Linked DNA regions of Coturnix japonica. The protein of the gene in region 1 interacts with the protein of each later gene in a pairwise test. Links are inferred from orthologs where the notes say so. Each region holds a gene or a part of one and is shown in the gene's direction. Other genes may lie near its edges.

What was found.
Region 2: the proteins of SFN (region 1) and FOXO4 interact in binary tests that used the Homo sapiens proteins (3 or more experiments, as listed by UniProt). The link is inferred for Coturnix japonica from reciprocal best matches to the Homo sapiens genes SFN and FOXO4.
Region 3: the proteins of SFN (region 1) and MARK3 interact in binary tests that used the Homo sapiens proteins (3 or more experiments, as listed by UniProt). The link is inferred for Coturnix japonica from reciprocal best matches to the Homo sapiens genes SFN and MARK3.
Region 4: the proteins of SFN (region 1) and HDAC4 interact in binary tests that used the Homo sapiens proteins (3 or more experiments, as listed by UniProt). The link is inferred for Coturnix japonica from reciprocal best matches to the Homo sapiens genes SFN and HDAC4.

Annotation. Positions count from the first base shown.
Region 1 is NC_029538.1:1,603,449-1,610,364, forward strand, and holds SFN (14-3-3 protein sigma), read left to right. Parts: upstream 1-3,153; 5' UTR 3,154-3,306; coding exon 3,307-4,047; 3' UTR 4,048-4,546; downstream 4,547-6,916. UniProt on the Homo sapiens protein: Adapter protein implicated in the regulation of a large spectrum of both general and specialized signaling pathways. Binds to a large number of partners, usually by recognition of a phosphoserine or phosphothreonine motif.
Region 2 is NC_029519.1:2,351,115-2,358,725, reverse strand, and holds the start of FOXO4 (forkhead box protein O4), read left to right. Parts: upstream 1-2,842; 5' UTR 2,843-3,229; coding exon 3,230-3,673; intron 3,674-7,611. Other genes in the region: SNX12 (sorting nexin-12), read right to left, coding at 294-396, 600-724, 923-1,018, 2,237-2,401. UniProt on the Homo sapiens protein: Transcription factor involved in the regulation of the insulin signaling pathway. Binds to insulin-response elements (IREs) and can activate transcription of IGFBP1.
Region 3 is NC_029520.1:45,751,566-45,758,443, forward strand, and holds the end of MARK3 (MAP/microtubule affinity-regulating kinase 3), read left to right. Parts: intron 1-1,187; coding exon 1,188-1,232; intron 1,233-3,060; coding exon 3,061-3,406; 3' UTR 3,407-4,157; downstream 4,158-6,878. UniProt on the Homo sapiens protein: Serine/threonine-protein kinase. Involved in the specific phosphorylation of microtubule-associated proteins for MAP2 and MAP4. Phosphorylates the microtubule-associated protein MAPT/TAU. Phosphorylates CDC25C on 'Ser-216'.
Region 4 is NC_029522.1:2,885,974-2,893,751, forward strand, and holds the start of HDAC4 (histone deacetylase 4), read left to right. Parts: upstream 1-2,656; 5' UTR 2,657-2,766; exon of another isoform or gene 2,767-2,774; intron 2,775-3,148; exon of another isoform or gene 3,149-3,242; intron 3,243-7,778. UniProt on the Homo sapiens protein: Responsible for the deacetylation of lysine residues on the N-terminal part of the core histones (H2A, H2B, H3 and H4).

The DNA of each region.
Region 1 (6,916 bases):
AGGATGGGGCTGCATAAGGGGGTGGGCATTGAGCACCTGTTGAAGCTGGGGGGGTTGCCTGCAGGTCTCAGGGCAGGGCCGGGTGTCACCCTGCTGGTGCAGTTCTGCATGGAGCCCCACACTCCATCCATCACAGCTCACACACCCTGTGCCCGCTGGTGGTGCGGCGCGTAACTCTGGTGTCTTCCCCAGGAGGATGCCTGCCAGGACTTCGCTGTTTCCTGCACAGCTTGATGGGATGTGCCCTATTCTCTGCCCCTGGCCCTGCATTCTGGGGGCTGACTGGTAAGAAAGTGCTTCCTTCTCCTCCTTCAGCCCATCTCATCCCCGTTGCATGTCTGGCTCTGCCCTTGAAGCCCTCCATCACCTTCCAGCTGTGCTGAGACCTGCATGCTCCCACTGCCTTCCTGCAGCCTGGCTGAGCACGGCAGGCTGCTTCCAACCCCCCAGTGCTGTGAGATGGAGCTGAATTGAGGGTCAGCCCAGCCCCGTGCTGTCTGCAGTGTTGTCCTGCACGGTGTAGGGATGTTGGCTGACTGAGCTGGGAACGTGTTGTGATTCCATCCCTCACCTCCATCCCTTTGTGCCTCAGTTTCCCTGTGTGTAATGTGACATTTGTCTTTCGATATGTCTGTCATCGAGGTGAGTTCTTTCTCCTCCTTCCCTTCTCCTGGGGCTGTGCAGTGTGCTTAGGGCAGCACGGAGCTCCGCAGGTCGGCAGCCCCTCTGCCCCTCTTGGAGCACCCCAGGGAAGCCAGGACCCCACGAACCCCCCAACGATGACAGCCATCAGCACCGCCCGTGCCTCTGCTCCGCAGCGCTGTGCCTTCCCCCTTCCTGCTGTGAGAGAGGGGGGAGAGCAGCCGTGTGCAAGCCAAAGCCTTTCTGAGCCCCCCACCCACAGCAGGGGCCAAAAAGCCATACAGCTTCCCTCCCGAGTGCAATACTGCGTTCCTCCTTCCTCCCCCCCACCATGGGGAAGAGCCACGTACTGAGCCAGGGCTCCCAGCATCCAGCCCTACCTGGGGGGGTTTGGGATTAAGCCAGCAGCGTGTTGCCCACTGCATCCCACTCGACCCCATAGGATGGTGCACGGTCAACGCTCACCCTCCCCATGAGCTTCCCACCCCCCGGTCCATCGCTATGGGGCTCTGATGGAGGGGATGGGCCCCTTCCCCCTGTGCAAAGGGCTTTGAGCCTGGTAGGATTCTGCCTTTTACTTTTGTAACAAAATAAAGATTTTCCCATTTCCTGTCTGTCCGTGTGGTGCTGGGCTCCATCCCACATCCCTCACTGCAGCTGTGTGAGTTCATGGGTGCTCTGAGGGTGGTGGGTGGCCATTGACCCCTCCCCAGCAGGGCACAGAGCTGGGGCTCTTCCTTCACCCCCCCTTAACTCACACCAAAACCAGTAGAGCAGAATATTTCTGCAGCTCCTGCTCAGCTCTTTGCCACCAACATTTGGCAGCAGCTCGGTGCTTCTGGCAGCACCCAAACCCACGAGCTCCATGCTGTGCCCTGGGGGGGACCTGCCCCCATACACAGCCCCATTTGTGGTCTCTCCTATGGGGTAGGGGGCAGAAGTGCATTCTGTTCAAAACCACAGCCCCTGTGCATCCATGAGGTCGAGCAGTGCTCACGGGGGGTCCACTTTGAGCCCCAAACTCAACAGCCCCCACCATGTGGCTGGATGGGGACTGGGACCGCATAAGCTTGGGACCAAGAGCTGCCAGCCCTGAGCAACCCCAATGGGGAGAGGATGTCAGGGATGGGGCTGAGGGTGCTGGCACAGCGCTGGTGAAGCCCTTGGCTCCATCCCCACGTGCTGCCCGCCGCACCCTGCCCTGTGCCGGCGTGTGGGAACAGGCTGAGAGCGAAACTGCAGCGCAACGCCGAGCTCAGATCCTAATCGGGGCCGCCAGCGCTGCTGGGCAGAACTCGAATCAAAATGAGACTGACAAAAAAGAAGGAATAATAATCCCAATTCTTCCAGTACAGCGTAAAGGGAGAGAAAAGAGCCCCGGTGGGATGAGCGGAGAGGGTGGGGGACATGGGGATGGGTGGTGGAGAAGCCTTAATGGGGATCCAGTGGGGTTTGTGGGTGTGGAGCTGCCTTGGGTTTGGGGATGTCCAATGATGGTTCAATGGGGGGGTTGGGGTTGAGTACTTGCAAGTGCCAGGGCAATTCCCCCTGAGCAGGCAGGGTGGAGGAGTTGGGAATGCCCCAATCCCAATCCTGGCCCTGATCCCTGCAGCAGTGCTGGGGTAACGTGCTGCTCCTCCTGCCTCGATTTCCCCACCAGTGGGAATAAATACCAGCCCTTCAAGCCCTTGCAATCACCGACAAGTTAATCATCATATAAAAATGACAGCGATGGGATTTTTGGGGAGGAGACCATTTTTACAGCCAGGTTTATTCCCCGTGCTGTTTCTCTAAGGGTGGTTGGGATGGGGGCACTGGGTGCTGCCGCTTTCCTGCTTCACCCCAATGTGACGACCCCACTGCTCCCTGTTCTGAGCACTCCTGGCAGATGGGGAAGGGTTCCCCCATTGGTCCATGGTCCCCCATTGATCTGGGATCTCCATTGATTCCTGGTCTCCCATTTATTTGGGGTCCCCCATTGATCCGGTTTCCCCCATTAACTCAGGGTCCCCCATTGATCTGGGGATCCCATTGACTGATCCCAAGTCTTCCAAGTATTTGGGGTTTCCCATTGATTTCGGGATCCCACTGATTCCAGGTCTCCCGTGGGTCTGGGTATCCCATTGATCCAGGCTCTCCCACTGGTTCAGGCTCCCCCACTGATCTGGAGTCCCCACTGATTCTAGGTCTCCCATTCATTTGGGGTTTCCCATTGATCCGGGGTCCCCAGTTGATCTTCCCTCCTCCATTGTTTCAGAGTCTCCCACTGACATAGGATGTCCCATTGATCCAGACTTCTCCATTGATCCAGTGGGACATCCCATTGACACAGGGGGGGCTCACCATGAACTCCCTGAACACATCCTCTCCCTCCCGGCACCCACCTGATCCAGGGCAGGGTGGGTGCCACCCGCTCACCCCTTCCCCATCACCCTGTGCCTCGGGGCATGATGACTCACGGCAATTTGCTTTTTAAGGGCGGGCTCTGCGGGGAGGAAGCAGAGGAGGAGGAGGCCGCTCCTTCAGCCTCGTTGGCTCCTCCTGCTCTTGCTCGGGGCTCCGACGCTCAGCCAAAAGCGAATCGGGGCGGTGAAGCTCAGCAGAGGCTCCGACGGCTCCCGGCCCCACTCCTCGTCTCATCCTGCTCCTCATCCGCCCTCAGCCATGGCAAGAAACCACCAAGTGCAGAAAGCCAAGCTGGCCGAGCAGGCTGAGCGCTATGAGGACATGGCGGACTTCATGAAGGCGGTGGTGGAGCATGGAGACGAGCTGTCCAACGAGGAGCGCAACCTCCTCTCCGTCGCCTATAAGAACGTGGTGGGCTGCCAGCGCTCGGCGTGGAGGGTCATCTCCAGCATCGAGCACAAAACCGAGGAGGGAGACGACAAAGCGCAGCTGGTGAATGAATACAGGGAGAAGGTGGAAGAGGAGCTGAAGGGCGTCTGCAACGTGGTGCTGGGCTTGCTGGAGAAGCACCTCATCAAGAAGGCCGGAGATGCAGAGAGCAAAGTGTTCTACCTGAAGATGAAGGGAGACTATTACCGATACCTGGCTGAGGTGGCCTCCGGCAACGACCGCAAGGAGACGATCGACAGCGCCCAGAAGGCGTACCAAGAGGCCATGGACATCAGCAAAAAGGAGATGCAGCCCACGAACCCCATCCGCCTGGGGCTGGCCCTCAACTTCTCCGTCTTCCACTACGAGATCGCCAACGCCCCCGAGCAGGCCATCTCGCTGGCCAAGACCACCTTCGACGAGGCCATGGGGGACCTGCACACGCTCAGCGAAGACTCCTACAAGGACAGCACCCTCATCATGCAGCTGCTCAGGGACAACCTGACGCTATGGACAGCCGAGTGCGCGGGTGAAGACGGCGGCGAGGCTGGCGAAGAGCCCAAGAACTGAACGGCCCCCAATGCAGCTGGGGTCCATCCCCCACCTCCTTCCTCCTCCCCTCCCTCCCAGACTCCCCCCCCTTTCCCCTTCCCCTTCCCGAAGCCCTTCGGTGTCTTTTCCTTTTGTTTTGTTCCTTTTTTAAGGAGTGGGGAAGGTATTTCGCCCCCCCACCCTTACCCCCCCTCCAGTTCTGGGAGTGGGGTCCATATGTTTGCCCTTTGGCAGGGCCTCCCCTTTCCTTCTCCCCCCCCCCATGTTCTTGTCATGCTCCCCTCACCCCTTTAACACTTTGTTTGGGGGATACCCCAGCGTAGCTTAGGGGGGGCCCTAGCCCTCTGTCTTGGGGGGCTAGAGCCGTGCCGCTGGTCCCTTGGGGGCAATGGGAGGAGGTGATGGGACGGGATGGGGAGAAAGGGGAGGGGGGGGGTTGATGTGCCCCCCACCCGGATGGAGGATTGCGAATTGCCGAAGCCTCTGTGTGGCTCCAATAAACCATCTCGTGCACGTCTGCCTCTGTGGTCGCCTCATCTCTCCTGTCGTGCACAAGCCCAGGCAGCTCCTGCAGCTCCCACAGCCGGTCCCATTGCGTGCCACGCCATGCTGGGGAGCACTCGGGGCCTCCAAAGTGCAGGTCTGGCTGCCTGCAGCCCCTCCCAGCCCCGCCATGGGGTGTGGGGGTACTCAGCCAGCCCCAGACCTCAGGGACGGGTCTCAGAATGGGCTTTCTAGGTGGGTTTTCCATAGGGAGAGTATGTCCCAGGTCTCCAGCCCTGCAATTGTATGTCCCCATTCCCATGGTGTCTCCATCCCTTTGGTTTTCCCATTCTTGTACTGTCCTCATCCCCAAGATGTTCCTATGGTGTCCCCACCCCCATAGTATTTCCATCCCCGTAGGGTTTCCATCCCCATGGTGTCCCCATTCCATAGTGTCCCCATCCTCATAGTGTCCCTATCCTCATTATGTTTCCACCCTTATGGTCTTCCCATCCCTATGATGTCCCCATCCCTACAATGTCCCCATCCCCATCTTGATGTCCCCACCTCCATGATATCTCCATCCCCATGGTGTCCCCACCCAAACCACGCAACCCACAGTGTCCCAAACCCCATTACTGGGGCTCCGTGCAGACAGGGGGATGTTTCAGCTCTTCCCCTCCAGCACTGACACGGAGCTGTCACAGGGGAGGTGACAGCATCCCACCGAGGTGAGGACATCCCCATGGAGGTGTGGATGTGCCGGCGCTGGAGAAAGCTCAGCACTTCTGGCCCTGGCTCTCAGCCACAGCGAAGGGTGCAGCTCTGGGAGCGCGAGTTTCAACACGAACAGTTAATTACACTGAAATCCAGTCCTGGCAGCCTGGGCCGTGAGCTCATCAGATGGAGAGCAGCAGGGCTGGGCCGTGCTGGGCAGGACCCGGCTTTGATGGGAAATGGGGTGGCAGGAGGAAGCCGAGTGACTCAGGGTGTGCCGGTTCAACGGGGTCTTCACTTGGGGACATTGGGGACATAGTGCTGAGCTGTGCTTTGGCACGGTCCAGTGTTGGGTATGGGGAAACTGAGGCACGACCCTGCGGTGGGGAGGATGGGGCCGTGGGAATGCTCTGGCTGTGGGAGGATGAGCGGAGCAGAACCTGCTCTCCCAGCCCCACATCCCGTGGCAGAGCCGGCTTAGAGCCTGCAGGGCAGCACTGGGAGCCCCCAACCCAGAGCTGAGGAAATACATGAGGCTGAGTATGAGGATGGGGTTGGGGTCCCTCAGTGCCATCAGTTCCCTCTGAGGGGGAAATAAGGGGCTCCCACGGTTGGCCTCCATCCTGCCCTGAATGCACCCACCCCTCCTGGTAGCTGCTCCCATGCCCTATGGGCAGCATAGGGTTGGCAGACGTGCAGGATGAGCCGCAGGCACCTGCTGGGCCTGACCCCCGGGGTTGGGGACACGGGGAGGGGACGGTGGGTGGTGTGCAATTCTAACCATGCCCCAAATTGCAGTGATTGGGGCTGTGCTGCTCCACAACCTCACAGACAGCCCGGAGGCTTTTTGGAGCTGGGAGGGACCCCCCCATCCCCACAAGGGCTCCCCATCCTTGTCTGCCCACAGTAGGAACAGAGCAGGGCTGTGCAGGTGGATTTTAGGGTTTTCCAACAGTAGCAAAACAACGGGACTCAGGTGCCCATGACCAGGGGGTATCCCCAACTCAGAGCCCCATTGGGCTGGGGACAGAAGGTGGGCACTGGAATCAGGTCCCAGCACAGCCCCACACCCAGCGACTAGTGGCCATGGCTTTATGGCTACTGGAATAGATCTCTGCTGCTCCATTGGCGCTGCTTGCACACCCCAAGCAGGACAGGCGGGCAGCAGGACACACAGCCAGGCTTGTCCCTCGTCCCCAAGCTGGATGACAGTGGTTGAGCCCCATCCCAAGGGCTGGTGGCCACAGCAGGGCAGCTTTTGGGGTGTCCAAGTTGGGTGCTGCCCTTCTGTGTGTCTGTCCACACAGAGAACAGCACAGTGCAGGGATGATGCCCACCACAGCCTGGGGGGCTCTGAAACCACTCAGTGTTGGTCCCAGCCCCACACTCCTGCTGGGATCAGCCCGCTCTGAGCCCACTGCTTTGAAAGGAGCCTGTCCTGAGCTCTGGAGCCCCTTCTAGGGATGGGCTGTGCTGTGGGGCAGGGGGATGGAGCTGCACATCCCCACACAGGGCGATGAGCAAAGCCTCGACCATTCCCCATCCCCAACCATTCCCCATCCCTGACCCTACAAAGCACAGAGCTGGGGCTGGGAGCCAGGACCCCAGGGCCAGGCCTGCACCTTGGTGACGAATCCTGGCCCCATGCCTAACACTTGCTCAACGGGAGCGACGGGAGCCAGGGTGT
Region 2 (7,611 bases), on another chromosome or scaffold:
AGAGGCAGCTCCTACGCCGTAATGCCACAAGCAAGTTCCTGCTCCACACCTATTCACACCTGCCGCTAGGTGTGGGACAACACATTCACTCGCATCAATCTTCACACCTTTAGGCCAAGACCACAGCCCGCAAGAACAAGTTGCTGCCAGTTACAAAAAGAAGGAAAATACTGAACAAACTGGGAGGTTCAGGAGAGGAAAAAGCTGCTTCAGAGAAGACGGATTTAGTGTAAAAATAAATGTCATTTTTGCAGGAGGGAGGGTGGAATGGAGGAAGACAGCGCCAGGTGCTGCTACTGGCGCACTTTCCCCGGGACGTAATTCCTATCGATGGTCTCCTCTTGCAGGAACATATGTAAGCAGCGCTCGTTCTGTGCCAGCGGGTGCCCAGCAATTCTAGAAGGAAACGAGAGGTGGAGGTTAGCACAGGCACCACCGAGACCCCCACGTACACACCTTCTGCAGGTGGGGAGTGAAGGCAGAGCTCTCAGCACAACACTAGCGTATCTAGATTACTTTCTGGTCAACCCACGACCCCCTCTACTACCAGCAGCAGCTGGAAGAACGAGCAGGCAGCAAGCCCGGGGCATCAAGCTTACTTGTTAATAAACTGTTCTAGTCCCTGTCTCCTCTCCTCGATGAAGGACTCCTCAAAGATGCCTTCGTCTCCTCGGAACGGAAGCTGTCGTTTCAAAGCTTTTCCAGGCAGTGGTGGCACTACAATCTGAAAGCAAAGGATCACTCCTGTCAGCAGAACTGCCACCTGAGAGAGGGCACCCGTCATCATTTGACACCCACCACGTGGCCAGAAATCGAGCCCCAGGGGCTGCCCACCACAGCCTCTCCTCTGCTCCAAACCATCGCTGCTGCTGCTCTCATACAGCCCACTTGCAGGAATAGGCACATCTGAGCCAGACCTCACCTTACTGTCTCGTTCCAGCTCATTCTTCAGCCATTCAAAGTCACTGTATCGTCTCCTCACACACGACTCCTTCAATTTGAAGATGGGGAGGTTTGTCTGTAATCAAGAGAAGCAGTTAATTAGCAGGGCCCTTAGGAAGCCAGACAGTGTTTCTACATGCCATTGAAAGCCAAAGCTGCGTTCAGAAAACCAGGGCCCCCCAAGAGGGACATATCACAGGAACGCCCAGCTTTGCTATTCTGGACAGAACATAAGCACATAACAACCTGCGGCAGCTCCCCTTCCTTCTCCCTCCCTTCCTCCAAGAGTCTGACAGCTCCTCAAACTTCACCTTTGCACTATCAATACATTCTGAATCATCGTGGGAGCTGAGGCAGCACAACCTCCTGACACGCAGCACCCAGACACGCACAGGTACTGCTGCAACACAGCTAACTGTATACAGACCAGGCTCTGAGCAACTTCACCGAGCCGTAGGTTTTCCAGCCCATTGCAGAGCAGTTGGAGTAGATGACCCTTAAGGGTCCCTTCCAACGATTCCATGATATCCTGATCAGGCCTGCAGAACAAAACTGCTTTCAAAGCATCCCTGCAGGAACTAGTTCCAGTGAGACAAAGATCCGCTCGCTGCTCGCAGCCCAGCCCGGCTGCTTTTAAAGGAGGCTCCAGCTGCACACGCTCTCCATAACCACCACACCCCCGTCCGTCGGCCATGTTTACCCCAAGGCCCGGCTGTGCCGTTGGCAGCTCGCAGGGCCCTGCTATAGGGCCGTGCTGTAGAGCACTGCTATAGGGCACTGCTATAGGGCCGTGCTGGAGAGCACTGCTATAGGGCACTGCTATAGGGCCGTGCTGTAGAGCACTGCTATAGGGCACTGCTATAGGGCCGTGCTGGAGAGCACTGCTATAGGGCACTGCTATAGGGCCGTGTTGTAGAGCACTGCTATAGGTCACTGCTATAGGGCCGTGCTGTAGGGCACTGTTATAGGGCCCTGCTGTAGAGCACTGCTATAGGGCCCTGCTGTAGAGCACTGTTATAGGGCCCTGCTATAGAGCACTGTTATAGGGCCCTGCTGTACAGCACTGCTATAGGGCCGTGCTGTAGGGCCCTGCTATAGGGTACTGCTACAGAGCACTGCTATAGGGCCCTGCTATAGAGCACTGCTATAGGGCCCTGTTATAGGGCCCTGTTATAGGGCCCTGCTGTAGGGCGCAGCGCCTTCGTGGTGCCGTCCCCCCGTCCCGGTCCCGTCAGGCCGCTCCGATCCGTTCCAGGCCACCCCCCGCCCGCCCCGTCCCCCTCGAGGGCCGCACCCTCATGCGGAGCTCGTAGCTGGTGTATCTGGCTCGGCCCATGCCCACGGTCTGCGGGTTGAAGATGTCGATCTCCAGGAAGTTGCTGGGCGGCCCGTACGCGTCCGTCAGGTCCTGCGGCTTGGCGTTCAGGCGCCGTGTGTCCGCCACCGCCGCCTCCGACATGGTACCGCCGCCGCTGCCCCGCCCGGCTCGGCCCGGCCGCTGCCGCAGCCCGCGTCGCCCCGCCCGCGCATAGAGCCCCGCCGCCCGCCCGCCGCCTGCATAACGCGCGGCTTATCCAGAGTGCCGGGCGGCCGAGGCCACCCCGCTCGTGCATGCTGCGCCGCCGCTCGCAGGGCGCCTGCATAATGCGAGCGAGTATTCATAGCGCGGGGCACGGGCGATCGCCGCCCCGGAACGTGTATGCTCGCAGGAGCCCCGGAACCTGATTAACGCAACGATCGCGCTGCGGCCCGTGGCGCTTCGCGCGCCGCTCCGGTCCGGACATCGCGGTGCGGCCTGCAGCGGGGCGCTGTGCGGGCGGAACGGCCCCGTCCGAGACACCTTGAGGGGGCACGAGAAGGTGACGGCCCGGTTATGTAAGCGCAGCCGCCGCGGTGCCCGCCGGGAGCTGTAGGAGCTGTAGGAGCTGTAGGAGCTGTAGGAGCTGTAGGAGCTGTAGGCCGGGTGCCGCCCCGCCCGCCACGCTCGCTCGTGGGGGCGCAGCTCCCCGCCCTGCGGCGCGGTGCTCGCCGGGAATCGTAGTCCGCCGCTGGGCCTCGGCCGCGCGCTTTCTCCTCGCCGGGACTACATCTCCCAGCACGCTCGTGGCGCGCAGGCGCAGCTCGGTGCGCTGCTCGCTGGTAAACAGAGCGGCGCGGCGGTGTCGGTTCGCGACTGACAAAGGGCGGCGGGTCGGGCCCGTCCCGTCACATCCCGTCACGTCCCATGTGGCGGCACCGGGAGGTTCAGGCCCGGCGGGGCGCGGGGCGGCGGCGCTGAGCGGGGCCGATGGCGGAGGCGGGCGGAGCGGCGGCCACAGCGCCGGACATCGACCCGGACTTCGAGCCGCAGAGCCGGCCGCGCTCCTGTACGTGGCCTTTACCGCGGCCCGAGCTGCCCGCGGGCGCGGCCGAAGCGGGAGGAACGGGCGGAACGGGCGCGGCGGCGGAGGAGGGAGCGGGCGGAGCGGCGGCGGCGGCGGCGGCGGCCGGGCCCGGGCGGGCAGAGGGGGCTCGGGCCGGAGGCGGCGGCGGAGCGGCGGCGGCGGCGGCGCGGAAGGGCGGCTCCCGACGGAACGCGTGGGGCAACCTGTCGTACGCGGACCTCATCACCCAGGCCATCGAGAGCTCCCCCGAGAAGCGGCTCACCCTGTCGCAGATCTACGACTGGATGGTGCGGTGCGTGCCCTACTTCAAGGACAAGGGCGACAGCAACAGCTCGGCCGGATGGAAGGTGCGCGGGGCTGCGGGGTTGGCGCGGGCCGGGCCTGCTCGGCGCTCTCCGCGCGGTGCCGTTCTCAGCCGCGCTCACCTGTTGCTCCATGTGCCGCTATCGCGGCCTGGAGCCGTGCGGGCCCGGGGGGCCGCCCCGATAATACGGCGCCGTGTCCGGGACAGTAGAGCAGCAGCCCGCGGCTGTGCCGTGTGTTCGCTCCTCGTGTCCTCAGAGCTGCGCTGGAAGGAGCGAAGCTGCTGGAGAGGCCGTTGCGGAGCTGCCCGGGCGTCAGCTGAAGGGCCTTTTAACTCGAGGCCGCGGTGCGCGGGGCTCCGTGTAAATAACAGTTTCATAGCAGGCATTCTTGGCGTTAAGGGCCTCCTTTAAACGTGTGCGCTGTCCGAGAGTCGCTGTGCAGGGACTGAGGACCTCTGCTGGAGTTTGGTAAAGGGAGAGCGTGTCTCAAAGCTCCAGACCTCTTCCCATCTGCTCTGCACATCTGCAGGTGCTGCGTTCTGCTAAAGACCCGGCTCCGTTTCCATCCTGTGCAGGTGGCAGCTGCAGGGTGTGTGCTGTTCAGTCAGGTGGACTCCAGCAAAGAGAAGGGGCAGTGTGAGAGCTGGGCTGTGAAATAGCCGTGTGGGCCACACTCATATATATTTCACAGCAAGTGCCTGCAGGAGTGGGGTCTGAAGGGCAGCACCACAGTGATGCTGTGCTCCTGTTTGCAGGCTGTGCTGCAGTGTGAGCCGGTGGGTGTGGGGCTTCCATGACTCCAGCTCTGCATTCCTCTCCTGGGTGACTGAGCACCCGATCAGCACAGAGCCTTAGTGTTGCTTCTGTCGATGTGCTGGTGGGTCTGCCTGCAGCTGGCCCAGCTCTGAAGGGGCTCAACGAGCAGTTGTGGGAGTCCTGTTGGCTGCAGAGAGGGCAGGAGTGGTGGGAGAGGTGCAGCTGTCTCAGCCCAGGTTGGCATGGGTTGACACAGAACTCCTGCCACATTTCTCAAGCTTTCTGACAGCTCTCACAAAGTGTGTGTAATTCAGTAGCATCCGTCCATATTTCTTTGTGTTAGTCTCTCCTTTGTGCAGGTTAAACCATCATTAAGCTTCAGTTGGAGGCAGGACCCAGCTGTTCCTTTCAGTAGGTCTGGGGGCTCGTGGCAGAGAGCTCCCCCACCTTGGGCTGTGCACGCTGTGCTGCTCCCACTGTTGCACAGGCTCGTGTTCTTCTGGCAAACAGTTCCTGGAATGGTGTCTGTTCTCTTTAGGAATGTGTCTGCATCTGTTTGGCAACAGAACCTGAGCCTGGAGTTGTGTCTTATTAAATGTATCCCGAGATGTTACAGGGAAGCTGAAGCGTGGTGCCCAGCTGGGTGTTGCAGTAGGTGGGTGTGGAGCTTGGTAAAGCATGGCTGTCCTCTTAGATGAGTGTGCAAAGGGATTGTCAGCCTTGGGTTTACTCTTGAGTTTCCATTGCGTATCATGCTTAGGAACTGGAGTCGGATTTAACATTCAGAAAGATGGAAATGGGGATCTGTGCGCAGGGGAAAGCAATCCGTGCTCTGCTGCTGTTCTGCAACGACTTTTCCCTCGTGATGAAGTTCCTTTGTAGCCCTGCAGCCTGAGGGCTGCTTCATCCCATCCACGCTGACACACAGATGCTTGGGGTGCTCCACACATCTCAAGTTAAGGACTCTTCTGGGTGCAGCTTTTTAGATGTTGGACCGAATGAGTTTGAAGAACGGAACCGAAGGTGGAGCTGCTGCCCAGTGCTGCTGGGATGCTTGAATGCCTTCAGCCCCCCGAGCTGTGATGTTCCTGTTGTACTGGCAGGGATGCACTGATAACGTATTGCATTGTACAGTTCTAATAGAGAACACATCTGGAGCATTATACACATCTGCTCCAGCTAATATAAAGCCTGTAAACTCGTTGCTTCAGAAGGGCTTTGCAGCTGCTTTACCCCGGCACACAATGGAGGGAAATACAGCTGTTACGGTCTGTGAGGGTGTGACCTCTGAATTCCGGAAAGCTCAGTCCTCCAGGAAGGTTCTGTTTGCTGCTCTTGAGCTGTGCTGAGCGCTGTGTGAGCGGGCAGACCTGCCGGGTGTGCAGCCCGTCTGCTCCCTAATGTAATTCAGCTGGAGTTAGGAATTAACCGGGCTGGGGGGAGAAGTGTTGGTGCAGGAGTGTGCCTGCAGCCACTGTAATCCCCTTGTGGGCTCTGCAAGCTGCTCCAGGATAAGAGGATCATTGCTTCCGGCTTTCTGCCTGTGGGATGGGGGCTGTGGGGGCTTTGGGCAGAGCTGTGCCTTGCTCAGCAGGAGGGCACAAAGCTCTCTGCAGCAGTCCCTGTGTGTTACACACTGTCCCTCTTGTTGCACTTTGTGTGTCCATGAGTATAAGCAGGTTCAGCACGGTGATGGGCTCACAGAGAACATGGTCCCATCCAGTGCAGGGCCATGTTCCAAAGCCAGGCTTGTCATGTTCTCCCAAACCCACTGTCTTCTCTTCTGTAGGAACAGAAGGAACTTGAAACTGGCCTCTTCCAAATCGCTTCAATGTAGGGAAAATCAGCCTTTTCCTATGTGTGCAGTGGAAAGGAAAGAACAAATGGTTCTGCAGCTTAGCACTGGTTGCAGGAGGCTGAAGTGCTGCTCCGTGGTCTGGCACTTTGTGTTTGCTTTGATTCAGATGTATGTGTGTGCGTGGTGCAACAATTCCAGTGGCTGCACTGCAGATTACAATGAGGAGGGACTTCCCTGGCTGCTACTGCTGTGACAGCAGCTCTGAAAGTCCCCCATAGAAGAGCAGCAGCCAGAAAGCAAAAGTAGCCCCGGCTGGGAGGTTCTGCAGGTTATCCTCACGCCTTGCAAATGAGTTCCAATTCAGTTCCAATTAAGCACATGCTTGTTTGGCTGGAGGTGAGCTGTTCGTCATTCATTGGCTCCCTGGCTGCTGCCCGGCCAGTTTCACTTTTTCTATAGGCTGATGTATAGAAAGCAGTGGTATAGAATCACTGATGGTTTATGGAGCCCTTCAGAGTATTTCCCTGTTGTTGCCTGCTGAGGCATAACTTGCGTGCCCAAAAGCCGTAAAGCAAAAGGCAATGTGAAACTGAAGTTCAGCATCTTAGCTCTGAGCAAGGTGCTGTTCTGCACGAGCTTCAGTCCAATGCACATCCGTACATGGGGTGGGCTCAGCCTGAAGCCTGGCTGCCCACGGCTGCTGGCTGTGCAGGGAGGGAGGCTGAGATGGAGTTACTCTGCCACAGGCGTTCTGGCACTGCGAATGAAGAGGTGTGCGTTCCACGTCGCTTTGATTGCTGATGTTGTTGCTGTCATCATTGACACCTAACAAAATCTAACAGCAATTGGACAGCAGTAACCCGCAGAGGTACGACAGGGCCATGCTGCCTTATATTTGTAGGGGTTCTTGTGGTTGAATCTTGTTTTTCCTTTGCAGGGTGCAGTTCTGCTCTGAGGAGGGGAGAGCTCTCCCTTTGGCAGCATCCCCTCTGCCCCATGCAGTGCACTCCAACCCCTGGGAGCTTTTGTTGCTCCCTGTCCATTTGTTGATGAAGATGAATATTGCAGCACAGCTTCATCTGTCAGGCAGCCCTGAAAGGCAGCAGCTCCTGCGATGCTGGCATGGCTTGTTCCAACAAGTTCCTCCTGCTCTTATCTAACCCCGAGTAGCTTTTGCTGCGTCTGCCTCCCTGTCACGTTCAACATTTAAACTGTCACAGTTTCTCTCTTTTAGAGAGCTGGGATTTCCTTCTTCTGAGCTCAGACTGAAAGATTACAGAGAGGGGAAAACGTCCCTCCTATGAAGCAGCTTTCAGTCTGTGAGGCTGAGGTTTGCACCCATGCTGGTGGGCGGCTGCAGGGACACTGCTCAGCTCCGGAGCAGTTGTTTACTTGCTGGAGCACAGCTTTGCAAAATCTCTGCCAT
Region 3 (6,878 bases), on another chromosome or scaffold:
GGTTCTCTCCCTTGCAGCGTTTTCCCATTTCAGTCTTAGAATATTGTTGTAAAGGTTGGGTTTGTGAATGTCGTCTACCTTCTCTAATACTCACCATAGTAGAGTAGTAGCACTTGATCTTAATCTGCCTTGAAGTCCATCAGTGCTATTGATGTCTTAAGCATGTGTGAGTTTCAGAAATGTGACATAAGTGTGGGCTGCAGTCAGTCTACTAAAGAACATTGGAAGGGCTGTCTGTAGCCTTTGGGTCAGCTGCCCTCCTGTGTGACTGAACAAGTGGAAATTTCTCCCCTTAAGAAGGTTGAATGCTAATATTTGAATATAAAACTAAGACAAAAATAGCTACCAATAAAGCACGCTTTGAAGTGCTGGAATTGATTGAGGACTTGCTAGTTGTTCTCATAGTCTTCATCATCATCTTTGTTACAGCTTTTTATTAGTCCATTAGTCTCCTGCTAGAGATCCCATCTTACCATGTGCTGTGCAGGACCTTGTTGTATAGGGTTGTTGCTGGGTGTTCTGTCAGCAGTCAGCAACGTAGCTTTAAACAGTGCAAAAGGATAGAAAGCTTAACTTTCTTTGGATATAGAAGATGTGACAGTGAGAATTAATAGCACAGCATGGGAGATCTTGGATTTACCTCTAAACTTTGGTTAAAATGTATACGTATGTTGATCTTTTGGTTTAGATGGCTAGGTGTTTAAATATCCAGTTCTTCAGATGGGGTGTGTGTGCAGACCAAGTCTGGACTAGTTCATAAACGTTATTTTTTTCAAATGTACACTTTTATTCCCAGATCACTTAAAACAAGCAAGCAACCAAAAAGCTAAAAATAATGAGAACTTATTTATTAAATGATAATTTTAATATATTTTGTTATTTTCATTTGACATTTTCTACAGTGGACATTCAACTTCAATGAATTCTACAATGTAAATATATAAGCACACCATGCCAAAAATAGCTAAGGGTCTTTTAAAAGCTGTAGTTAACAGACTTGGGTAAGATGTTACGTTCTGAACTTGGTCTAACCTAGAAAGTTCATTACATCTTTGTTGCTTTGTATTTTAACACGACTTTGCTATGATTGCAGTGTCTTTTAGCAACTACTCAGATATTGTATATTGTAGTGTAAGATTTGTCTTCTCTTTCCCACTTCCTTTTGCTTCTGCATTCTTTTCAATGAGGCTCCCGACTGAATATGAGAGGAACGGGAGATTTGAGGGCTCAAGGTGAGGGTAAAATTTTTGTTTGAAATGTTATTTAGGTGAGTTTGAACCTTTCTTCCCTTGATTATGTGGCACAGTGGCTTCAGGCAGCAGCTTTTGTTTTGTTTAAGGCTGTGAAACTAAACAAAGAAGCGTTTCTGTCTGCAGATCAGCTACTAAAGCACTGACTGGCTTGTTTCTAAACTTCCATCTTTCCTGTTGCCTTCTCCCTCGTGTGTTTTTTTGCATCTTAGTATTTATGATTTGCTGTTGTCTCGTAGATCTGTAGGTAAGTGGTGTCCAGTGAGACTGCACATGTGTGGGATAACCACTGAAGGATGTTAAGTTGTGCTTTTGTCTCCAAAATCACAAATGTTTTCCATATTAAACTCTTCCTCAAATCCTTGTGTTAAAAGTACTAGAAACCATCGGCTTTGTGTTCATTCTGCCAACCATTTTCAAGTAGAAAAGGCTTTCTAAAGTCGGCACTGAATAAAAGTTGATGTTACTCCCCCTATCCTTTTTGCCAGCTCCTGCAGCTTCATTAAATTAAAACCTTACAGTTACAACATACATCAGCAATCAAAGAGTATGTAGCATCTGAGAAATCATGCAGCTGGATTTGACAGCATAATCCTTTTATTCTTGCAGTTACTGGGAGTCATTATAATAGAATATAAAATTACGAGACAGGTTATCTTTGCAATAGGTTTTTTGTGACCTTGCCATTGCTTTTTATGTAACTTTTTCATAATTGCCTGCTTAATGGTGGGAGAAGGAAGAAAGCGTTGTGTAAGCAGAAATTCACTGCCAAATATCTCAGAGAAGAGCTTAATTTAATTGTAAACTGAACTTTGAAGTTCAACGCGAGACCTAAACTGTGTGGTTTAGGGTTAGCAAGGTTATGTGTTTTCAGAAAATATTAAAGCATCGTGGCCAGTATATTAAAGTCTCTTGCCCTGGGGACAAGTTTGAAGATAGGACTGACAGCACGCAGTCTTTCCAAAAGAAAACCTGCCCCATTTTTTTCTTAAAGGTTTAAATGTAGCTCCTTATGCTTTAGCTCTGTGACTGCTGATTTTATGGAAGTAGAGGCATCATTATGAACTAGAAATTTCTGGATCGTTTTTTACTGTCCTGTATAACCTTATTTCTCCTTACCAAGTGAAAAGCTTTAAAGAAACAAAAAGAAAACCTTGCAGATTTGGGAAATGGAAAGTACTAAGGCATATTTTTTGCTGTCTTTTAGAACTGTGGCAGTAATAGGAACCCTCTTGCCCTGGTTGCTTTACTAACCATGTCAGTACTTCCAGCTCTCCTTCCTGCATTTTGGTCTCCAGGACATGAATAGATTCTAGCTGCAAAGGACTTCACCACATTACTTGATTGGTATTAACCAAATTACTGACCAGCTTAAAGTCAGAATATTTCCTCCCTGTTGAAGGTATCCCCAGTATCCTACAATACAGTGGTTCTTTTGTGCACGTCTCATAGAGTGAAACCTGTCCAGCCCAGAACTGGGTGGCAGGTGGCCCAAGAGTAGGGCTTGGAGCAACACTTAAAACTGAATCCTAGCTGATGTGTGTGGTTTTTCCTCAGTGAGGTGACTTCCCTCACGCTCCCAACTCCAGTGACCTCCAGTTGTTTCTCCCATCAAGCCTCACCTTTGTTTCAGCCCCGAACGCTGACGCTTTATCTTTACTGTGTGTCTGTACGGCAGTGAGGGAGATGGGGTGCTGCCAGGGCCCATAGACATTGCTCTTGTAGTGTGTGTTGCCCGTGAGTTTGCTTTGCTAACACCTGTCCCATGGAAGTATCTCACCCTTCTGACTGATGAATTGCTCTCTTCCAGCCGCAATGTAGCCGTGGATCAGAAGGATGAGAACAAGGAAGCCAAGCCTCGCTCACTGCGTTTCACATGGAGCATGAAAACCACCAGCTCCATGGATCCCAATGACATGATGAGGGAGATCCGGAAGGTCCTGGATGCCAATAATTGTGACTATGAACAAAGAGAGCGTTTCTTGCTTTTCTGTGTCCATGGAGATGGGCACGCGGAAAACCTCGTGCAGTGGGAAATGGAGGTGTGTGACCTGCCAAGACTGTCCCTGAACGGAGTTCGCTTTAAGCGGATATCGGGAACATCCATAGCTTTTAAAAACATTGCTTCCAAAATTGCCAATGAGTTAAAGCTGTAACAAGAAACAATAGTTAAGTTGTAAATTAGTTAGCAATTTCAAGTGTTTTGAGAATTCCGATGGAAATGTATAGAATAACATTTAGGCAATAACTTCTGCATCCTTCTGAATAGTGATATTAAAGAAAACAAAGCTGCTGAGCTGGGAGGGAGAGTTGGACTTTTTTATAAGTGCACTACAGCATTAAAGTTGCCTACTATGTAAAATATTACCCCTTCTGCTTTATTTCCATTGCTCCTAAGTCTTTGACAACAAATTGAAACACAGAATATATTCATTTAAATATGCCTCCTGTTTGTGTGGACGTGTGAATGTACAGTATGTGTGTATAATATATAAAGTATTATATGTAAACAATTCATTTACCACATGGAGCTGTACCAGTACCTCTTTTTGGGCTAATTTTGGTGCTAAAAATTGAAATGGCCAAGGAGGAAACACTTGAGTTCAATATTTAAAATAACTGAAGAGATAACCAGTAAACGCAGGTTTACAATTCACTGCTGTGTTAAGGAACAAAAGGGTGTGAAGGGTTTGGATTTACGGTTGTGAACATTATTAGTCCTGTTTTCTAAGTAGAGCTCATGAAATTATTAAAAATTCACTTTTACCCAGTAAGTCTTGCATTATGTTTTGCCCACCTATTTATTATTTAAGTCCGAATCAGATTTTAATAATGTAGTTGATTTGTGCATTAAAATTTGAGTAAATGCTTCCATTCTTCTGCTGAGCTACTAAAACTGTATCTTTATCCCTCTGGCTTACGAGTTTTGATTGCAGCTCTGAGTACTTTTCTGTTGCTCCACAGTCCCCCTGCAGAGCAGTGCTGTGTGCTGAGTGCTGACCTGTGGCTTCTTAGAGTTCTCCCCCTTGCACTAGGCCAGCCTGATCACAGCACAACAGGACTCTCAAACAGCAGCCACGTTCTGATGCACATCACCATACATGAGCCTGTGCTGCTCCAAAGTATTGCTGCGGGCACAGCAGTGCTTTCCTTTGTTTTCTGAAACCCAAAAGTGGGAGTCAGATTTGGCTGCTGATGTCCCCTGTTGTAACATCCAGCTTGCTTAACTACAGCCATGGGCAGTGGCAGCTAAACCTTTCCTTGCAGCTCTCTTGCAGCATGCTCCCGCTTGGCTCTGGGCACCTTGCTGCTGGCTTCATGCCGGCTGTGTCTCTAGATCCTGCTGAGGAAGGAGTCCGCTGTTCTCTTATGTGTGGAACCTGCCCTGACGGACACTGATGGCTGCTAGTTTCTGTAGGACACCGAGCTGCTGTCGGATGGTCCCTGCTTCTTAAAGCACTGCTGTGCTGAGCTGGATTTGGGCTGGCAGAGCGGAACCAGGAGCTTCCTACAAGCGTTGTTTCCTGCTGAATACTCAGTTCATTTCACAGAGGACTTCTGTAGATAAAACGCTGCGTTATCTACTTGACTTTTTGTGTGAATGTTTGATGGTTATATTTCAGTGGAGCACTTCAGCATGTACTTCACGCGTGCTTTAGACTGGAGCCTCAATTGGCATTGAAATCTGCAGTGAGCTAATGGCTGTTCATAGTGCGCAGTTCGGGTCTGACACCAGGTGAGAACCCGTGGTGTTGTGCAAGTTAGTCCTTGTGACCCGCGGTCTGTGAAGGCAGCAGACATCCCCTCCATTCCTTCCCCTGAGCATCGATATTGACTCTGCTAGTTTTAAAGGACGATCGTAGTTGTTCAATGTAGTGAATATTCCTGGATTTGCATTTTATTCTCTGTATATTCTGTGTCATGCCATGGCTTTGGGACTCTCGGGGTTCAGTTGGCTTTCAGTGCTCTGCCCGTGCTGCTCAGTATGGTTTTACCCTCAAGAAGTCCACTCTGTAATAGCAATAAAACCTTTCAGGGCAGTCATTGCACCTTCTCAGGTGAGCAGTCACCTTCTCCTTTCACTTCCCACACTTCCAGCACTCCTCCAAATGTGTTCTTTTTTCTCTCCACCTGGCAGTGCACTTCATTGTCTGAACTGAAACGCTGTTCTGATAAAATGATGTAAATCTGTATTCGATGGAAGTTCCAAAAGGTTTCATATTAAATGTTTTCTGAAAGACTCTGTTCCTACTTCACCTCTTAAGTACCTCATTCTTTCTAAAGAGCGCACCCTTTGGATATTTAACGCTTGTATTTAAGTACTGAGGTGTTTGCAGAGGGTTCTGTCTGAGTTTGTCTGTCTTCAAGGTATTTGGAGAAGAAAAGAATGATGATCATTAACAGATTTTCAGCAGCTTCCTTCCTGAATGCCCTGTGAAATGACCAAGCTGCAAGAACATACCCTCATCTCCTTCCCACCCCGCATGCCTCCAGTGCAGGGCTCCAAAGGAAACTGCTTCCTTCAGATCCGCAACCAGACACCAACCTCTGCCTTTCTTTCTTGCTCTGCCTTGAGGTCCGTTGGTGCTGCTCCTGATCCAGCTTCACAGAGCTATGGCTGTGTTCTCTGCATTGCAATCAACCAGAGGTGATGGTGAGCATCTCAGCATCCTCAGCTGTACTCTGTCATGTGGCTGGAGTCCTGGGACGTGTGGTCTGAGTGCAGTGGTGGAGGGTGTTTGTCACAGGCTCGTGACTGAAGTTGTGCAGTGCTAAAATCCATCTCATCCAGCTCTGAAGATGCCTTTGGTTGCTGGGTCTGGTTAAGAACAATGTCTTCAGAGTTACAGGGGAGGTTGGCTGCGTTGAATCAAAGGGTTCTGGTTTTTAATAGACACATTCAAGGAAGGGGCAGAACTAACAACAGAACTCTGGATTCAGTTACAGTTGGTCTCAGATTCTGCCTGTGGCCACACGGGGTCGCCATCGGGCCGCGCTGTTGGTGCGGGGCCGCTGTCAGGTCGGCCTGAAGCCTCCTATGTGCGAACAAACAGCAATTAGGGCCCTTCCTCTTGCACTGGGCTCACAGGGCCTGTAGGTCCGGCTTGCAGAGGACACGTGTGCTCACAGCCCGTGTGTTACACCAGCTCGTTCCTGCAGGGAAGTGCTACAGCTCACAGCGGGAGCCGAGCCGTGGTGCTGGCAGCGCTCCTTAAAAGGCCATTAGAAAGCACAGGGCTGCGCTTGGGTGAAGGCTGCTAAAATACGGCTGGGTTCTGCTCTGTGCACCCGATGGCTCTGCTGGCTTTGCATGTTGAAGGCAGAGGGAAGAAAGAAATGAGAGCTGAGCTGAGGGGGACACGTACACATAAGGCTCTGGATCACCGAGCTGCTGCTTTGCAATCAGTGGTTCTGCTGGCTGCGTGCACAGCTGTAAGGTGTCCTTGTACCTTCATGTGCTGCTCAGACCAATGTCCTGCCTGCAGATGTGTGGGTTGTTACCTCTCATGCAGTGTTGGCTGGGGGTGGAGAAATGGAGGTTTGTGCTGCTAAATTCAGTGGTGATACAGCAGCCCTGGCAGAAGACAAGGACAGATGACGCCAACTTCTGGCCTCAGAAAGGGGCTG
Region 4 (7,778 bases), on another chromosome or scaffold:
AGCAGCCAGGGGCCTGACTGCATATACATTTTCATTGAAAAAGTGACTTGTTGCTTTTTGTCAGCTTGCTTTTTTTGTTCGCTTTTTGTTCCTCACAGTTATTTCTACTTTAATTGTTTGGGGTTCTTCTTATCCTGTATCATTCAGGATTCTTCTTTTTCTGGTTGAAAGAGACAGGAAAATGAATCAATATTTCCTCTAAGGCTCCCCTGTAGAGAAACACACACGTGCACACACACATGCACACACATCGCTATATCTTTTTCTCTCAGCAGCTGCCAAGGATGAAAAATCAAGGCATTCAATAACATGTAGATAAAGAATCAGGAAAATAATAGTCACTGGTAAGCTAAATGATCCAGCAATTATCCTGCCCTCAACTCCACGCAGATCTCATGTTAAAGTACAGACTCGTTTCTTGTGTATCTCTCAATTGAAGCCTCAGTGTGCTGCTAACATTGACAGCTGAAGGCAAAGAGATCTGCTCTATCCTCGCAGCTCATCAGTCCGCCCAGGAGGGATGATGTCCTACGGTAAGATCTTAGGGGCAGCAGTTTGTAGTGGCTGCACCATGTTCCTTCTCTCCTCTCAGAGGATCAATGTTACTGCTAAACAAATACGGAACTTATACAATTCAGCAAAATTTGGCAAGGAAACGTTTTCAAAGAGTATCAAGCTGAGGATGACTGCTATAAATATCCAACGCTCTCTTCATTGTTGCAAAGCTTTTTCTGTATGTTTTCGAATCCTACGTCTTCCTTACCCAGTCTTTTCTTCCCCAGCAGCAGCACCATGACTTTTCCTTGTCGCGTTTTTTTTCCTGATGGTAGAAAGGATGAAATGTGTACAATGCAGGGAGGATACAGAGCAGATGGGAGTGGGAGATAAGGCAAAGAAGGGTGACTGGAGGGAGAGAAATATCAGGGGAGAGCGATGATGGCAACTGACTGATCAGGAGGGAGGAGGGAAAGCAATCCACACATGGACACTTGCGTCTGGGCTTGACTGCAGCACTGGCACTTGGAGTAGGTGTTGCTCTTCAGTGGCAAGGCTCTAGAGGAAGCTCCTGCTGGCTTTCTCCCTAACTCGATGCTCTTTTCCCTGACGAGGAGGTGGTGGAAGGGGCAGCATTAGGATGGAAAGCTGAGAGCTCCTCTTTTGCTTTCTCCAGATTGCTGTGACTGGGTACGGAAACGAGCTGGAGCGTCGTGATGGATGTTACCTGCTTAAGGACATCAAAAAATGGACCCTTTTTGACAAACAAGTGGAATTCAGATAGAGACGAGGTGGAGGTGGGCGGGAAGCTCAGTAATTGCATTTTATTTCAGTCTTTATGAATTAGCTCTGCCAATTCCTTTAATTCAAATAGCTTTTAAGTAAACTTCTCAGCTGCAATTACAGTAAAAACAGACTATACTACATACAGTCAGCTTTCACATATAGGAAGAACGTTTTTTCTTGCTCACGTCTGAATTCTAGTTTATAGGAACAATGGCAGGGTTTAATTTTCTGTCATTATGCACAGGTTAGCCTAGACTGGATATTAATAGACACACACATATTCACACCCACGGCCACAAGTACCGCATCAATCAAATTTGGAAGATAAAACTTACACTCCATGGCAACTTGAAGGGTGCAATTTTCTTTCTCTTCTTTCATCTTTCTAAAATACCTTCAGCCATGTAGAAGGCATTGGAGGTGATAGACCCAGCCAGCTTGGAGCTGCAGGAGAGCATCCAGGGCACATATGGGGAGCACTGATTTGCTTCAGGGACCACTTAAGCAAAGCAATGCCTGTAAGTATGTTGGTGTGCAAAGCACCTTGCAGCAGCCCAAGAAATAGGAAGCCTCAGGAGAGGGCAGGCAGCCACCCAGCTGTCCATACATGGGTCCTGCTATGGCCACCGCTCATTCCATGCACTGGGCAGCTTGTGGCATAGATCAGTATTGCCTTGTTGGCTGCACAGTCTGCACTTGTGAACCTCTAGACCTAAAGCACTTATCCCCACACGTCTCTGGACACTTTAAAATAATTTAGCAGCTTATTTATACATGCAGGCATACATACACGTGAGCACACAAACCGGCCCAGAATAAAGATAGCAGAACGACCATAGGAGGAAACCTAAAACCTCACTGACCAAAAAAACAACAAACAAACAAGCCCACAAGCCAGTAGATGGTAAAAACGAGACAAAAAAGGGCTTCAGCTTTATGCAGAAGTGGCAGTATATCCTTAGACACACACTATAGGCTGTAGGCTCAAGCATAGAAGAATCACGATTGTAGATTGTAGAATGGTTGGTTTGGAAGGGGGCTCAAGGATCACGAAGCTCCAACCCTGCGCTACGTGCAAGGCCACCAACCTCCACATTTAATAGCAGCCCAGGGTAATTAATACCTGCCCGGGGTAACACACAGCGATAGAGCAGCTCCGCTGTGTGACGGGACTCCTGAGGAACCCAACGGACGGCGCCCAACGGCCGCGGGTGGGCGGGGCTAAGAGCCGAGGCGGGGCCTGATTGGTTCCCTTCCCCCGCCGCGCGCCCAGCCGGGATGAGGCGGAGTGCAAAGAGGGAGCCGAGGCTATAAATAACCCGCGCTTCCTGATTGGCCGGTGGGAAAAATGGTCGCACCACGTGACTCTCCATCTAAAAATTCCAAGATGGCGGATCCCGTCACGGGCTGAGTCCGTTGGTGGCGCGCGCGCCGCCCGTGTCCGCCGCCGAGCTCTCGCCTCACGGCTCCACGCTCCTCCCACCGGTAAGCAGGTCAGTACGCCGAGCCTCTCGCGTGGCCGGGTAGCCCCGGGGCACAAGGGCTGGGCGAGATTCTGCCCGCCGGCTTTTAATCCCGGCCCGGCCCTCCCCGTGGTTCCCTAAGGCTTCGACGGGGCGCGCGGTTGTTTTCCTCCGGGCTCCGGCCGCGCGGTGCGGAGGGTTCCGCAGGAGGGAGGTGACGGGCAGCTCCGCGCACCAATCGCGTTGTCCCTCGTGGTGGATTTGAGCCGCTGTGCGACGCGATTGGACGCGGAGCCCGGTGGGGGCGTGGCTTCCGCTCGCCCCTCCTCCCGCAGCCGGGCGGCGGCGCTGGCGTTTTTTTGTGAATGAGGCAAAAGGGGGCGGGGCTACGGCGTTGGCCACGCCCACTCGCGGCCGCGCGTGGCTCCTCCCACCCCCGGCAGCAGCGGCGCCGCCTCGGAGCCGCGCGGGGCTCGGCGCGGAGCGATGCGGGCAGCGGTGAGCGGCGGGGACGGGGGCGGCGTGGGACGGGGGCGGTGGGGCCGTGCGGGGCCGACTGGGACCGACTGGCGCCTCCTCGGCCCCGCACGGTCCCACCGCCCCCGGGTTTGGTGGAAGTCCCCGAAAATGCTGTGTTTTAGCTCGAGGGATGAGGTTTGTGCTGCGATGTTGGGGTCTTAACTTGAAACAAACCACAAAAAAAAGGGGGAAAAAAGATGGCTTGCAACGCGCGTGGCTCTGCGTAAGGGAGGTGCTGCGGGCTTTTGCTGCAGGAATTTGTCAGAGCGATGCTCGGCGCTATCATCTCCGAGCGGCGTGGCCTCTGAGCAGGGGAATGTGTTTGCGGAGCGCTTAGTTGCCATGATGGTAGGGCTGTATTTGGGAGCTGAACCGGCCTTTGATTCAAAGCACTTGCGTAATTGTTTTGGGGCATGATACGGGAAGGTTTTGTCGCTTGCTCGTTGGCACCAACTCGGCTCGTTGCTCCCAGCCTCCCCTAAAACGCTGCCTTGAAGCGAAGGGGAAGGTTTGTGTGTGCTGGGTCGGATGGGTGCCCTGTGCTTGTCCTCAGCTCCATGCTCGCTAACGGTGCCGCGATGTGCTGCTGTCACGGGCTGCCTCCAGCTGGGGCCGTGTTCCCTGCCAAAAAGCTACCTGAAGTTAATTATGCTTTGATAACAGCGACGTTTCTAAGGAGCTCTGAAGTTTATATAATAATCTGCTTCTTGGCAAGGCTGCTTTTTTTCTCCTTTTCCTCCCCCCCCCCCCCCCAGCCCCTCCCGCATTGAGTTCTGCCTGCTCTGATGTTTCCAGTGCTGCCGCGTGGAGTTCCCAGCCCAAAGGCTGCCTTTGTCACTCCTCAGCCTCTCAGAAAGAGTTAAGAGGGCATTGAATTAAGAAAGCTCAGCTGCTTGTATACAAATATACCGCAATTACAAGGCACCAAAGTTATTGCCGAATCCTCCCGTCACCATGGTGATGTGCTCACTCAGTTCCATTTGGAGATGTAAAATGCCACCCAGTTAGAAAGAGGAAGTTTTTTAGCACTGCAGGTTTTTCTGTACCAAGTGAAACGTGCTTTCCAGGATGTGTCTGCTGCTCTGAATGGCACGTGCACCTGCCAGGTGTTGTCGCTGACGTTAAGCTGTGCTCTCGGTTGGCTCAACTGAAGGGGGGGAAAATGATTCTGATAATCTCAAGTCTTTAAAATTCATCTTTCCCGTTCTTGAATTTCTTTGGGTTTTTGCTTCAGGGTTTGGTTTTGTGACAAGGATGCTTTAGAACAGCCGGATATGTGTTTTGAATGGCTTGTACAGAATGGGTTGGAAGGACGGGGTGGCAGCTTTCATCCTTTGCACAGGAGCTGCCCCTTCAGATGTGTGTGTCCGTGCAGCACCGTGACCTGCAAAACCATTCAGCACTGTGGTTTTCTTTGCCGTCTCTGCTTACATAGAGCTGTGGTTTAGCAGGCAATATCGGTGGCAGGTGGATGGCTGGACTGGATATCTCAGGGAGTCTTTTCCAACCTTGGTTATGTGATGTGTAGGCAGGTCTGAGCTGTATGGCCAGGGTCGGGGGGCAGTGGGTTCCATGCCCCAAGTATGTGATGTGGTTGGTGGGAGCGAGTCTCATTTATCACTTTATGTTGGCTTACAAGCAAAAAAGAATGAAACGGAAGGAAGAATTAAGCAAAAAGAGGGAGCTGCTTGGTTATGGGTTCCTGGAGAGGTGGAGCTGATTCCAGCCTGCAGCATTAAACCATGCAGTGACCTGCAAGGGCAGGGAGCTGGGCTTAGTGAAAATGAAAGGTAAAGTTGAGCAGGAGCCCGTGGGTTTAGATTACGTTGCCCTCCTAATCTCTTTGAAGTGGCTTGCTGCTCCCTGAAGCAGACTTCTTTAAAGCCATCGGAAGATGCCTCTGGGATCAGAAGCTTGGTGCAATGGCTGAAGCTTTCCCTCTGATCATTTGTGGGTTTCCAGTTCTGAGGCAGCTACAGCCTTTCTATTGCATGAACATACCCCAAACCAGATAAGACAAAGTGCTGAGGAAGAATGTTTCCATTGCCTATGTAGTATATGACAGTCAGGTACTCCAGGTCATCTTTCTGTTTCCAGAGCTGAGAACAGCTAAGAGCTCACCATGCACTTACCAAGTAACTTATGCTGAAAGCAGTTTGCATGCTGGATGTCCTTTAGAACCTGCTGCACAGCCTGACCTCAGGGACTGAGGGCTGACAACACGAGAGGTGCTTGTGTTCTTGCTTGGCTGAACGCTGGGCATGCCACACTGGAAGACCACTGGCATTGTTTTTCAGCACCTTTGGGCTGCATTCCTGGAACGCTTTTTGTATGCCATGCCTTTGTAATATGACGGTAAATGAGTCCTTGAGTTTGCTTAAGTGCAGCATGTGCTGTCTGGGTCAAGTGGCCAAGCGTGTGCTGAGCAGGGTCTGACAACCTGAATGCTCAGAACCCAGCTGGGCCCACTTAATCGTGGGGTGAAAGCACTCCTCTGGCCTCCTGTCCTTTTCCAGGTAACAAAATGTCTGTGTTGTGCTCCTTGGTGCTACGTGTGTTAGTATTCATTGGAAGTACTGTTGTGTGCATAGGTGTAATACCATGTATATAACACAACTCTTCAAACCCTTAGGACTCTTCTCACTCATCTTGAGTTGATGGTTGGTGAACATGGTCATGTTACCAGAACATTTTATTTGCTGAATGGTATTCGCTGTGAGCCCATTCCAAACTACCAAGCATAAAGACCATAAAGAAATATTAACTGGAAGTATTCTTTGGATCGTGATAATGATCTTCATCATGTATTTGTGATGCCAAGTGTTCTTGACTTTTCCTGCTGGCCTCCTTGGTGATGCCTCCTGCTCTGTTGGTCTCCTGGCTTATCTGTAGCTTGTTTCTAGGTGTCCCATCACTTTTTGCACCCTCCTGCTACCCAGTCTGCAAGACCAGCCACTGGATTTATATTCTATCAGATCCCTGCTGGAGTACCTGGAGCTTATTTTGTTCAACGTGTGTTGTTGGTCAGAGAAGCTGTCAGGATGCATCTTGTCACTTCATTCAAATTTGCTCTTCAGTTTTGCATCAGCTTCCCTTATAGATAACCCGTGTTTTCCATTTACAGGTACTCGAGGCCTAAGCACACCAATGCTCTGCAGCGATGAAAGGAACCTGGTTCTCCTCAGCTTGCTGATTTCAGACTTGCAAGCAACAAGAATAAAAACAATAATAAAATCAAAGCTGAAAATATGATTTTTGCCTTACATTGTATAAGTTGAGAAACAGCAGTCTCCTACCTGCTGCATTCCAGACCTTGGCCGAGGGGTCTTAAAACTGCTTTAGTGATTAATGCCACTCACATTTTGATGATGTTATGCGGGAAACTGAAGTGGGCCAGGTTTACTTTCTCGTGCAGCGGGCCGTGTTGATAAGGCAGTATATAACAGATGATTCATGAAGTGCTTCTTGTCATTGCCAGGACTGCCTGAATAGCAAGCAGATTTTGGGCAGTGCTCCTTCCCTGGGAAGACTCTGGGCAGTTTAAGCTGGGAGAAGGGGAGGGAACAAATAGACGTGCGTTTCTGACTGTCTTAAAGGATAAAGACTTAGAAAATTCAGAGGGGTGAAAATAGGTAAGATAAGTGGGGACAGAGAAGTAGGAAAGCACACAGAAGCTGTAAAACGATGTTGAAAAGAGGAGCAATTAGAACAGCCTAAAATCTCCTGGAATGCTTTTGTGGTTCTCCGTTTGCAAGGAATTACAGCTTGGCCTGCATCTGTAGAACTTGAATCTTTTTGCGTGGCATTCATTACTGGATGCATCTTAATTAGCTTCATTCTTTTCCTAAATGTTTTTTTTTGTTGTTGTTGTTTCTGCTGGATTTTATCTCAGAGAAGTTTGATAAAAATCTGCCTGATTGCTGGTCAGGGTGAGGTTTTGGTTGTGGTTTTTAACCCTAAGAGTGCTCCATGGCGGCCATTTAAAATCATGGAATCACCAAGGTTGGAGAAGACCTCCAAGATCATCCAGTCCAGCCATCCACCTACGGCCAGTATTTCCCCACTAAAGGAAGCCAGAAGGTTGCTGGGAGGAGCTGGAGGTTGAGGGTGAAGGTGATGTGTCAGCTCCTGTCAGGGGGCTGAGGAAGGGATGCCATGGGGCGTCATTGGTCAAGCAGGCCCATAGGGTTTGACTAAGCATTGCTGTGATGGAGTCCAGGAGGTAATGTTGCACTTTGGGGACCCTGTGGGTACAGCCTGGAGGTCACACTGAGGTTTGATGACTGTTTGCTTTTGGGTTTGCTGTCCTCGACCCCTCCTGGACTCAATATGTTTTATAATGAATCGGTAAGCTACTGAATCATAAAATGCCTTAGTTTGGAAAGGACCTTAAAGATAATACAGTCTCGACCCCTCTGCCATAGGCAGGGTTGCCAAAGTGAATGAGGTATTGTACTGTAAGCTTTTGCTTTACATGGTCATATAGGATAAGTTAATGTATAGGAGATTAAAAGC